2 linked regions of the Neurospora crassa OR74A genome follow. The protein of the gene in region 1 binds, or shares a complex with, the protein of each later gene. Links are inferred from orthologs where the notes say so. Each region holds a gene or a part of one and is shown in the gene's direction. Other genes may lie near its edges. The genes, in order: NCU04171 and NCU07560.

What was found.
Region 2: NCU04171 (region 1) and NCU07560 share a complex: the UniProt entries of both Schizosaccharomyces pombe proteins name them as parts of the mitochondrial large ribosomal subunit. The link is inferred for Neurospora crassa OR74A from reciprocal best matches to the Schizosaccharomyces pombe genes mrpl7 and mrpl17.

What each region holds. Positions count from the first base shown.
Region 1 is NC_026505.1:5,078,945-5,083,160, forward strand, and holds NCU04171 (mitochondrial 54S ribosomal protein YmL7/YmL5), read left to right. Parts: upstream 1-1,679; 5' UTR 1,680-1,954; coding exon 1,955-2,211; intron 2,212-2,347; coding exon 2,348-3,032; intron 3,033-3,235; coding exon 3,236-3,352; 3' UTR 3,353-3,684; downstream 3,685-4,216. Other genes in the region: NCU04170 (hypothetical protein), read left to right, coding at 1-1,287; NCU04172 (hsp70-like protein), read right to left, coding at 3,986-4,216. UniProt on the Schizosaccharomyces pombe protein: Component of the mitochondrial ribosome (mitoribosome), a dedicated translation machinery responsible for the synthesis of mitochondrial genome-encoded proteins, including at least some of the essential transmembrane subunits of the mitochondrial respiratory chain.
Region 2 is NC_026503.1:4,356,536-4,361,091, forward strand, and holds NCU07560 (50S ribosomal subunit L30), read left to right. Parts: upstream 1-1,490; 5' UTR 1,491-1,837; coding exon 1,838-1,874; intron 1,875-2,020; coding exon 2,021-2,793; intron 2,794-2,882; coding exon 2,883-3,179; 3' UTR 3,180-3,744; downstream 3,745-4,556. Other genes in the region: NCU16690 (hypothetical protein), read right to left, coding at 518-841; NCU07559 (hypothetical protein), read right to left, coding at 4,275-4,556. UniProt on the Schizosaccharomyces pombe protein: Component of the mitochondrial ribosome (mitoribosome), a dedicated translation machinery responsible for the synthesis of mitochondrial genome-encoded proteins, including at least some of the essential transmembrane subunits of the mitochondrial respiratory chain.

The sequences.
Region 1 (4,216 bases):
TCAGCGAGTGTCACTCCCACGAATAGTGCCAGCGTTGCTACTACGATTTCCGTAAGTGTCGCTCCCACTGCAAGTGATGCTCCTACTACGAGTATCACTCTCAGCGTCGCTCCAGGATCCAGCTCATCTACTACTGCTCCTGCGGTTGTCAGTACCACTCTCTCTGCACCTACTGTCACTTCAGTCCCTCCTGCCGCTGGCACAAGTACTACAACCGCTGCGGCTGTCACGAGTACAGATCCTGCTCCAGTCACCACTACCACCACTACCGCTACTAGTTCTACTACGAACACCACCCCAGTCTTGTTTACAACTAGTACAACTACTACAACCGCCGCCGCCGTTGCTACTACAGCCCCTACTCAAGCCACCACGACCATCGCCACTGCTGCCACTACTTCCACCACGAACATCGCCTCAGCCTCGCCTACAATTCCTGCTGTTGTGAACTGGGACTACCAAGGATGTGCCAGTGACTCCAACACCGCCGCGCCTACTGCTCGCGCGCTCAATGGCACCTACCTATACGACAGCGCCGGCATGACCATTCAAAAATGTCTTAACTACTGCGCCCAGCAAAACTACCCCCTCGCCGGCCTCGAGTTCCAATCCCAATGCTACTGTGGTCTCGAGTTCAAGCCCGGCTACAGCCTCGGCCAGACTGGCTGTAATCTCACCTGCGCCGGTGACCCATCAACACGCTGCGGTGGCCGCGCTCGTCTGGACGTCTTCAGACAAACTAACTACGTGACGCCCCGGCTCGTCAACCCGTCCGTGGTTAACGGGCGCTTGGCGACGCCACAGGGTTGCTTCATCGACAACTCAACGGCTCGTATTCTCAAAGCTCACTCGTACACCAACAGCACGAGCATGACGGTCGAGATGTGCCACGAACGCTGTCAGTCGAGGGGCTACAGTCTCTTTGGCGTGGAGTTCGGCAAGGAGTGTTACTGCGGCAATTCGCTCGCGGACACGGCGGTGGCGGCGTCAGAGCTGTATGAGTGCAAGAGGTCGTTCTGCGTCGGTGATAAGACGGAGTTCTGCGGTGCTGGCTCAAGGTTGTTGCTTTACAGTATTCAGCCGGCTGGGACTACTTCTCCTGCTAGGAGGAGTATAGAAAGGAGAAACGAGGGGATGGTGAAGGTGAAGTTACCCAATTTGGGCAAAGATGGGGAGTCTGATTATGAGTTGAAATGGGATGGTGATGGGGGTGTGGGACAAGTGAGAAGAAGCGGCTCTGGGCGGAAGAATATTGAGAGGCGATGGGGACGTAGTCTTGGACGGTGATGATGATACTTGGATGTTTTTTCTGTTTTCTCTTTCTTCCCCGTTACATACTTTGTTGTTATTGCTAGACATGCTGATAAGGTGTGCGCGGAATGATGTAATTATTAGTGGCTCGGAGGATACTTCGAGCAAAGGAAGCGTACGCATATACAAGTGTCTCCTAATCTAATCATACATGTCGTCTTAATGTGTTGGAATCCTGATCTGAATCGCTTATATTGGTACAAACATAGTGATATATTTCCAAATCCATGCTTTATTTAGAGTTCATCAACCACATCAGATGCATTCTCAGGGGTCCAGGAACGCTTTCAGGGGTAACAGACTCATATCCCTAACCCCAAACTCATCCAGCTTTGGCCCGTGCTGCCAAGCATTGGCCCCGGTTCGAGACTCCGCAGAGGCTCCAAAAAAAATTCCGGCGGGCGGCACAACGGGGACCGGCACCTCTTCGAGCCTCGACGCGGGACCAGGACCTTGCGCTTGCCGGAGAAGGAACCTCGCTGCCCTCTGCCCGTCCGTGACAGACCTTCGGCCCCGATTTCCCGCGTGCGCCGGACCCTCTTCCTCAACCACCACTCCGAAGCGACAACCTCCACGGTCGCCAATTCCGAAACCAGAGCGTCCGCCCGAACGCCGGTTTCTTTTTTCGGTATCCTAATTCACCATGGCCAGTCTCCGCGGGGTCTCGCGATCGGCTCGCGCTCTTCAGCCTTTCTCTGCTCAGTTCGCCGTCCGAAGATGCGCCTCGACACAAACTGGTGCCGGCGCTGCTGCCGCTACTCCCAAATCCAACATTCCCGACCTCGCCGAGCTTGAGACACGGTCGGCATTGGACGCTCCCATCCCCAGCGAAGAGGACAAGAAGGAGTTCAGGCCATGGAAGCGCGCGGCCGACAGGAAGGCGAGGTTGCCTAGCAGCAGGTGCGTTATACACTCTCCCTCCGTCCCGTGGTTTACATAGCTAGCCACACACATGTATATATACATACATATACGCAAACCATAAACAAGATGTTTAAACGTTGCTAACCACCATGCCTCACCTCCTACCGAACAGATACCAATACCACCCCCCCAAGTACAACCGCGGCCCCCTCCACCCCATCCAATCCCCTCCCTCCTCCGACCCTATCGCCCGCGACTTCGTTCCCGGCCCCTTCAACATGCCTCGTCTCAAGGAAACCTTCCGCACCGTCATGGCCTCGGACCTCATGACCCTGGCCTACATCCACACACCCCCGGGAACGCCCAAAAAGGAACCCACGGAGCGCTTGCGTGCCTGGGAGGGCGACTCGCCCTACTTCGCCAACCGTGCCCGCCGCGCGCCCCGCGGTGCCCCCGAGCTTCCCATTCGCGAGCGCGACATTTCGTTCCGCAACATCCCCGAGATCAAGGAAATCACCGTCTCCACCTTCGTGCCGCTCGGTCTCAAGAACCCGGACTTGTTGATTGTGGCCCGGGCGGTGCTGCTGGCCATGACGGGGACGATGCCGGAGATGACGAGGTCCAAGAACAACGTGGTGCAGTGGCAGCTGCAGGCGAACAAACCGGCTGGTTGCAAGACGACGATTTACGGAAACGCGGCGTGGGAGTTTATGGATCGGTTGATCCATTTGGTTCTCCCCCGGATCAAGGATTGGAAGGGCGTGCCGGCGAGTACGGGTGATGGAAGCGGTAATGTGCAGTTTGGTTTGAATCCGGAGGATGTTCAGCTTTTTCCCGAGGTGGAATGCAACTATGATGTGAGTTTGTTTCTTGGGAAATGATGGGTGGAAGAGAAAGAGAGGACGGAGGAGAACAAAAGTTTGGAGTTGGAGCCGGAGCCGAAGCTACAGTAGGGAGGGTTCTGGTTCCGGCTCTGGCTCCGGCTTTGGCCCTACCGTCTGCTTCGTCTTCTTGTTTTCTTGGACTTGACGACAGATTACTGACTTTCTATCCTCTCCAGATGTACCCCGCCAAGATGATTCCCGGTTGCCACATCGCCATCAAGACGACAGCCACCTCCGACAGGCAGGCTAAGCTTCTGCTCCAGTCCCTCGGCGTTCCTTTCTACAGCAACTAAGCGCCAAACGGGCTGTTGATCGTGAGAGGTTGAGAAAGGGACGAGATTCAAGGAAGGGGGATGAGAAGATGATGAACAACATCTCGCATCATGATAGTTGTTGGATGACAATTGAGGAGGATGAGGAGATGTGTGAAACTTGTACAATACGAATACACTAACCACATAAGGACGATGTATGTTGGGTGTATATATACCTTTTGTAACAACATCACGAGGAGGAGGCTTATAGACGAAGTGGAAAGGAAACGGAAGAAGAACAATACCACCGGGTCTGACGGTCAAAGATCAAAGAAGTAGAATCACAAATGCGTAAAACAATTGGAAGGGTGTCATCATTGCGTGAACTGGATTGTGTAAACGGACATCGTCAAGGGTATCTGCTTCATAAACAACTCCCAAGTCTAGAACCACATATCCATATCCCAGTCTAGCTTTGCACAGAACAGGTCAAGATATTATGACAACAGAACCCATTCGTCTTGATCAACCAAGGATCTCCAAACAAAAAAAACCAAACGCCTTTTCCAATGCCAAAACCAAAACCATATCTTTTCAGTCCCATTTTCCTTTCATTTGGTCATCCCCATCATGAACCCCAAACCCTCAACCTACTCATCCCCTTAGACAGCTCTAAGCAGACTTGGCCTTGTTTCTCAAAACGTCAATAACCTCATCCACTTTATCCATATCCGCCGCATCCACCTTGGTCCCGTTGTTCACCAAAACCTCATGACCGCGCTTATGCATCTCGTCCGCCGCGACATCCATAGCCGGCTGATAATTCCTCACCGCACTGCTAAGCGCATACGTAGCCTTGCGCCTCACCTTCTCCGACTCGCCCTCCTTCATCGCCAGGTCCAC
Region 2 (4,556 bases), on another chromosome or scaffold:
CAGCATCCAAGCGGTTGCTGGCACGGAAGCTTTGCTCAGTCATCGTTGATCAGGATGACGCTTATGTATTGGGCATGATAGAAAGGAGAAGTACTTTCTGATCACTCATGTGATGTATATGTTAGATGGTGTATGGTATCAGGGCCGGCTGGGGTGAATCTGGGTAAATATCCTGGCGGACAACTGGCGTGCGGTAGTTTTTATACATTAGGATCTTTTCAATGAACAGACATGACTTTTTTTTTTTTTTTTTTGTTGCATTTTGGTCATCGTTAAGGAACTTGGACTATGTAGTGTAGTCCACTGTTTCCGGCATTGCGCAAGGTGTGCTGAACAAGTCGGTTGATAACGTGATGACTGCTCATTCTATTCTTGTTCATCTTTTTTTGATATTCCACTAACTTGTCCATCCATTCTGATACGTAGCCTAGTAAAGATTTGGAAAGCTTGTCCGAACGCTAGCAAGGAGGCAGGTCTGATAATTCTATGAGATGAAGCACGCATATGTATATCGTGATCAGCGACATGGATGGTGGAAATGAATATTCTGAGCTGGGCAGTATGTGCATTGCGGCGTAGCTGAGACTTCAGTAGATGTGGCCGTGCTTGATCGCGACATTGACCGGAGTGACGACAAGCAAGTGTCGGGGATGGAGAACGATCCATGAATGATCTCAGGAAGGTTCATATCCAAAGTCAAGGAATGAATCGACAGGACACCAAGCAGCCAGACAAGACGCGTGCCACAAAAACGAGGCTTGAGAAATTCGAGACGGGGAAGCATTTCACGAAGTGGCAAGAATAACACTTTCAAAGAAACCAGCCCCATCTTGACTTTCATCTAGCGAAGTCTCCTCACACGTAGTGTACATGCCATGGAGAAGGAGACTGACTGACCAGACTGACTGGGCCAAGCTCATTTCTCAGAAAGAGCAAACACACACACACACACACAAGACAGTCTGCAGTATTATTACATACATACAATGCAAAACCGTCACGAGAGTTCGCAGGAGAAAAATATGTAAGCAGATTCTATCTAACAGCAACCCGGTAGAGCGTTTATAGGCAGGTACCGCTAGCGAATTCGTCTGCTCATGGTGGTTCCTCTCGGCACGGACTAAATGATCAGGACAGTTTTGGAGGAAGAGAAACGTCGTGATGATAAGGAATGGTGCCTTGAAGAAAGAAAAAAAAGAAGAAGAAGAAGGAAGAAGAGAAGGGGAGGGGGGATTGGTGGCAGTTTTATTGCAGCAGTTCAGTTCAAAAGTTTGCTGGACCCGCTTCGGTCAGGTGAGTGGTCATGTGGGGTCGTAGGAGCCGTGAACCTAACTGAGGACGTGAAAGTTATGGTGGGGTAGGTAGCGGGGGGGATTGGTTTTGGAGAAGAAAAAGGGAAGCTTTCGAAAAGGGAAGGCGGTGAAGGAAAGTAAATCGGTTGCCAAGACTCAATTGTTCAATCGCGACCAGGAACGAAACGAGCAGGGAGGGGACCTGACTGATCGGTGCGCGGCGGCAGCGCGGCAGGCGGGAGGGCCCCAGGGAAAGAGTGGGGCTGCGGACATCGAAAAAGTTCACGGCCGGTTTCCCGCGCTGTGTGTCGCCCGTCCGTCCGCTCTGCCCTGCCTGCCTGCCCGCCCGCCCGCCCGCCGCAGCGACCGACCGACCGACCCCGTCCCGCATCCACCCCGAGACTTGCGAGAGAGAGAGAGAGAGTTGCGTTGAGGATTGGCGCGCGCGCAAGATTCACCCGTCCTCCCTCCCTCTCCCCGTCCCGTGTCCCGTTGTCTACACACCCGGGCCCCGTTCAACAACCAAGTCATATATACTGCCCATCATGTCGGCGTCGAGTAGGGGAGCTGCTCTCCTTAGGAGTATGGACCACTTTTTCTTTATCTTCTTTTCGTATCGTCAACTCGTTACGAATTGGTGTTTTCCATGCATGGCTTCCGATCGCAAACTTTAAGCTTAAAGACACCATAACTAACCCGTCGCAATCTGTTCTTTCTCTTCCTTCCAGGCCAACAACGGTCCATCTGCCTACAATGCCGCAACCAAACCCGAGTACTTGCGCCCGCCGGCGTCACCAGCGCACCTAGACGTTTCTACTCCGCCGAGGCCTCTGCCACTGCCACTGCCACTGCCACTGCCACGACCACAACAACACTACCCCCTCCTCACCCGCCCGTCACCACATCAACAGGCACCCACGCCGCCACCTCGACCTCGTCGCAAATCTACCGCATCAAGTCGGGCGTGATCCTGACCCGCCCCCCGCTGCTGACGCGCGACCTCACCCCCTTTGAAGAATCCTTTTACTTTTACCAGAAGCGCCTCAACGAGCGGCTGACGGCCCCCTTCCGCAAGGACTTTTACTTCAAGAAGGACACGGCCGCCGACCTGGACTGGCGCATCAAGCTGAAGGAGCGCCACGGCGTGCCCGCCAAGGACATTGGTCGGTACAACCCGCGCGGCCGGATGGCGTGGAACGACGAGGTGCTGGTGGGGTCGCAGACGTCGTCGAGAAAGCACATGGTGGAGAAATTGCTTGCCGACGCGGAGATGCGCGTGTCGGAGGATGGCGAGGAGATCCCCGCCGAGGACCGGGTCCCCGTCGAGAAGCCGATGCCGAGACGGACGGAGGCGGATGAGAAAGGGGATGTCAAGCGGTTGGATCGCGCGCTGGACAAGACGCTTTATCTGGTAGTCAAAAAGAAGGCGGACAAGGAAGGCGAGGAGGCCAAGTGGATGTTCCCTACGGGCGTGGTGCCTACGGATGAGGGGTTGCATGAGGTTCGTTATATTCCCTTTTTCCCCAACCCAACTTCCAACCATTTTCCAAAACTCGCGGCCAACTAACCTTTGATGATGACGATAAACAGACCGCAGCCCGCATCCTCGCCGAGTCCGCAGGCGTCAACATGAACACGTGGATCGTCGGCCGCGTGCCCGTAGCCCACCACGTCGTCCGCCCCGTCTTCGGCCAGAAGGACGGCGCCCTGCTCAAGAAGGGCGAGAAGATCTTCTTCCTCAAGGGCCGCATCATGGCCGGCCAGGCCGACCTGACCGACAACCTGCATGATCTGGTCGACTTCAAGTGGCTCACGCAGGAGGAGCTGCGCAGCACGTTGGCGGAGGAGTACTTCCACAGCGTCAAGGGCATGTTTGCTGAGAGGTGAACAACACAACACAACAACACCCTATGTAGCCTGGTCTGGTGAAGTGAAGTATGGAAGAACAAGGTTGGAGAGGTGATGATGAGTCGATGGTCGAAGTCGGTGAGACTACACCATTATCTTCCGGGGAAATAGAATGGGGAAGTGCAGTGGGTGGCGGAAGAAGAAGAAGAGAGAAGCATGTGTACAAATGTATTGATATCAAAAGATGGTTTTAGTCGGTCGGTGGCAAGGTACAATTGTTGTTTATGCGCTGAGTAGACCTGGACCGCCCCCTAGCCGAACACAATCAAAGGTCTCGAGGAAGAGAATCAGAGATGGTTTGGAACTTGACTTGACAGTTCAAAGGCCTCGCACGCCTCAGCGTACTTGACCAGGCCGAAGCCAAGCTCGCATGCCATGTCTGCAAGAAGCGGGCGAAGGCTGACATGAAGCACAGGGACGAGAGAGGGTGTTGTTTGTAATGTAAAAACATATGCTGTGTATAGAGATTTGGGATGAAGATGTCATACAGGATGCGAGATGGTTGGTGAATACTACCAGACATCCGCTGGGTTGGTCATACCGCTATCTGAGGTGAAGTCTGATACTAACATACACAAACAAGACAGACTGAGCTAATCACATATCTGTGACCCGATTCTGCATTAGAGACGTGGATAGGTATGGCAGTGACCTCTTCAAGATCCAGCCTTGATCAATGATGAACACCGGTTCTCCCGGCTTGAGACACACAGTCAAAGCTTGTGCCAGCCGCAGACCAAAGCAACGGTACTTTTGAGCTGGTTGAAAGTCCACACCACGGCGGCCTGTAGGATATCTTCACACGTCTCCTACGCCTCCATCAGGACATCCTCCTTGATCATCCATATAAGGCCGTTGGCTTACACCTCTAGCTGGGACACTTCTCGCGCGCGTACCAGTGGTGTACTCCTCCATTCCTCGTACATCATTAACAAATTACTTGTTGGCATTACCACACCACACACAAGTCAAGTCTCAAATCTCCACCCATCTGAAAAGCAATCTGAATAACACACAAATCGTGCCCAAAGCCCACACAAAAAGGAGCTCATACAGGAGGTCCCGATGATCATCCTAGAGATTCCGAATCCGGGACTTTCTGAGCGGAATCGAAGTGGTGAGCGCCAAAACTTCACCGTGGTCAAGGACCAATTTGTTTCCAAACTTTTCCCAGAAAACTGCCTCCCACGGGGGGAGACGATGAACCTCAGGTGCCTCCTGCTTCTCTTCCTCCTCCTCCTCCTCCTCATCACTGCCGTCACCGAAAACACTGGGCGGGGTGTCAACCATGCTTCCAGTCATACCAGAAGCGACAGAAGAACAAATACTTGACCGACGACTGATAATGCTGTTGGG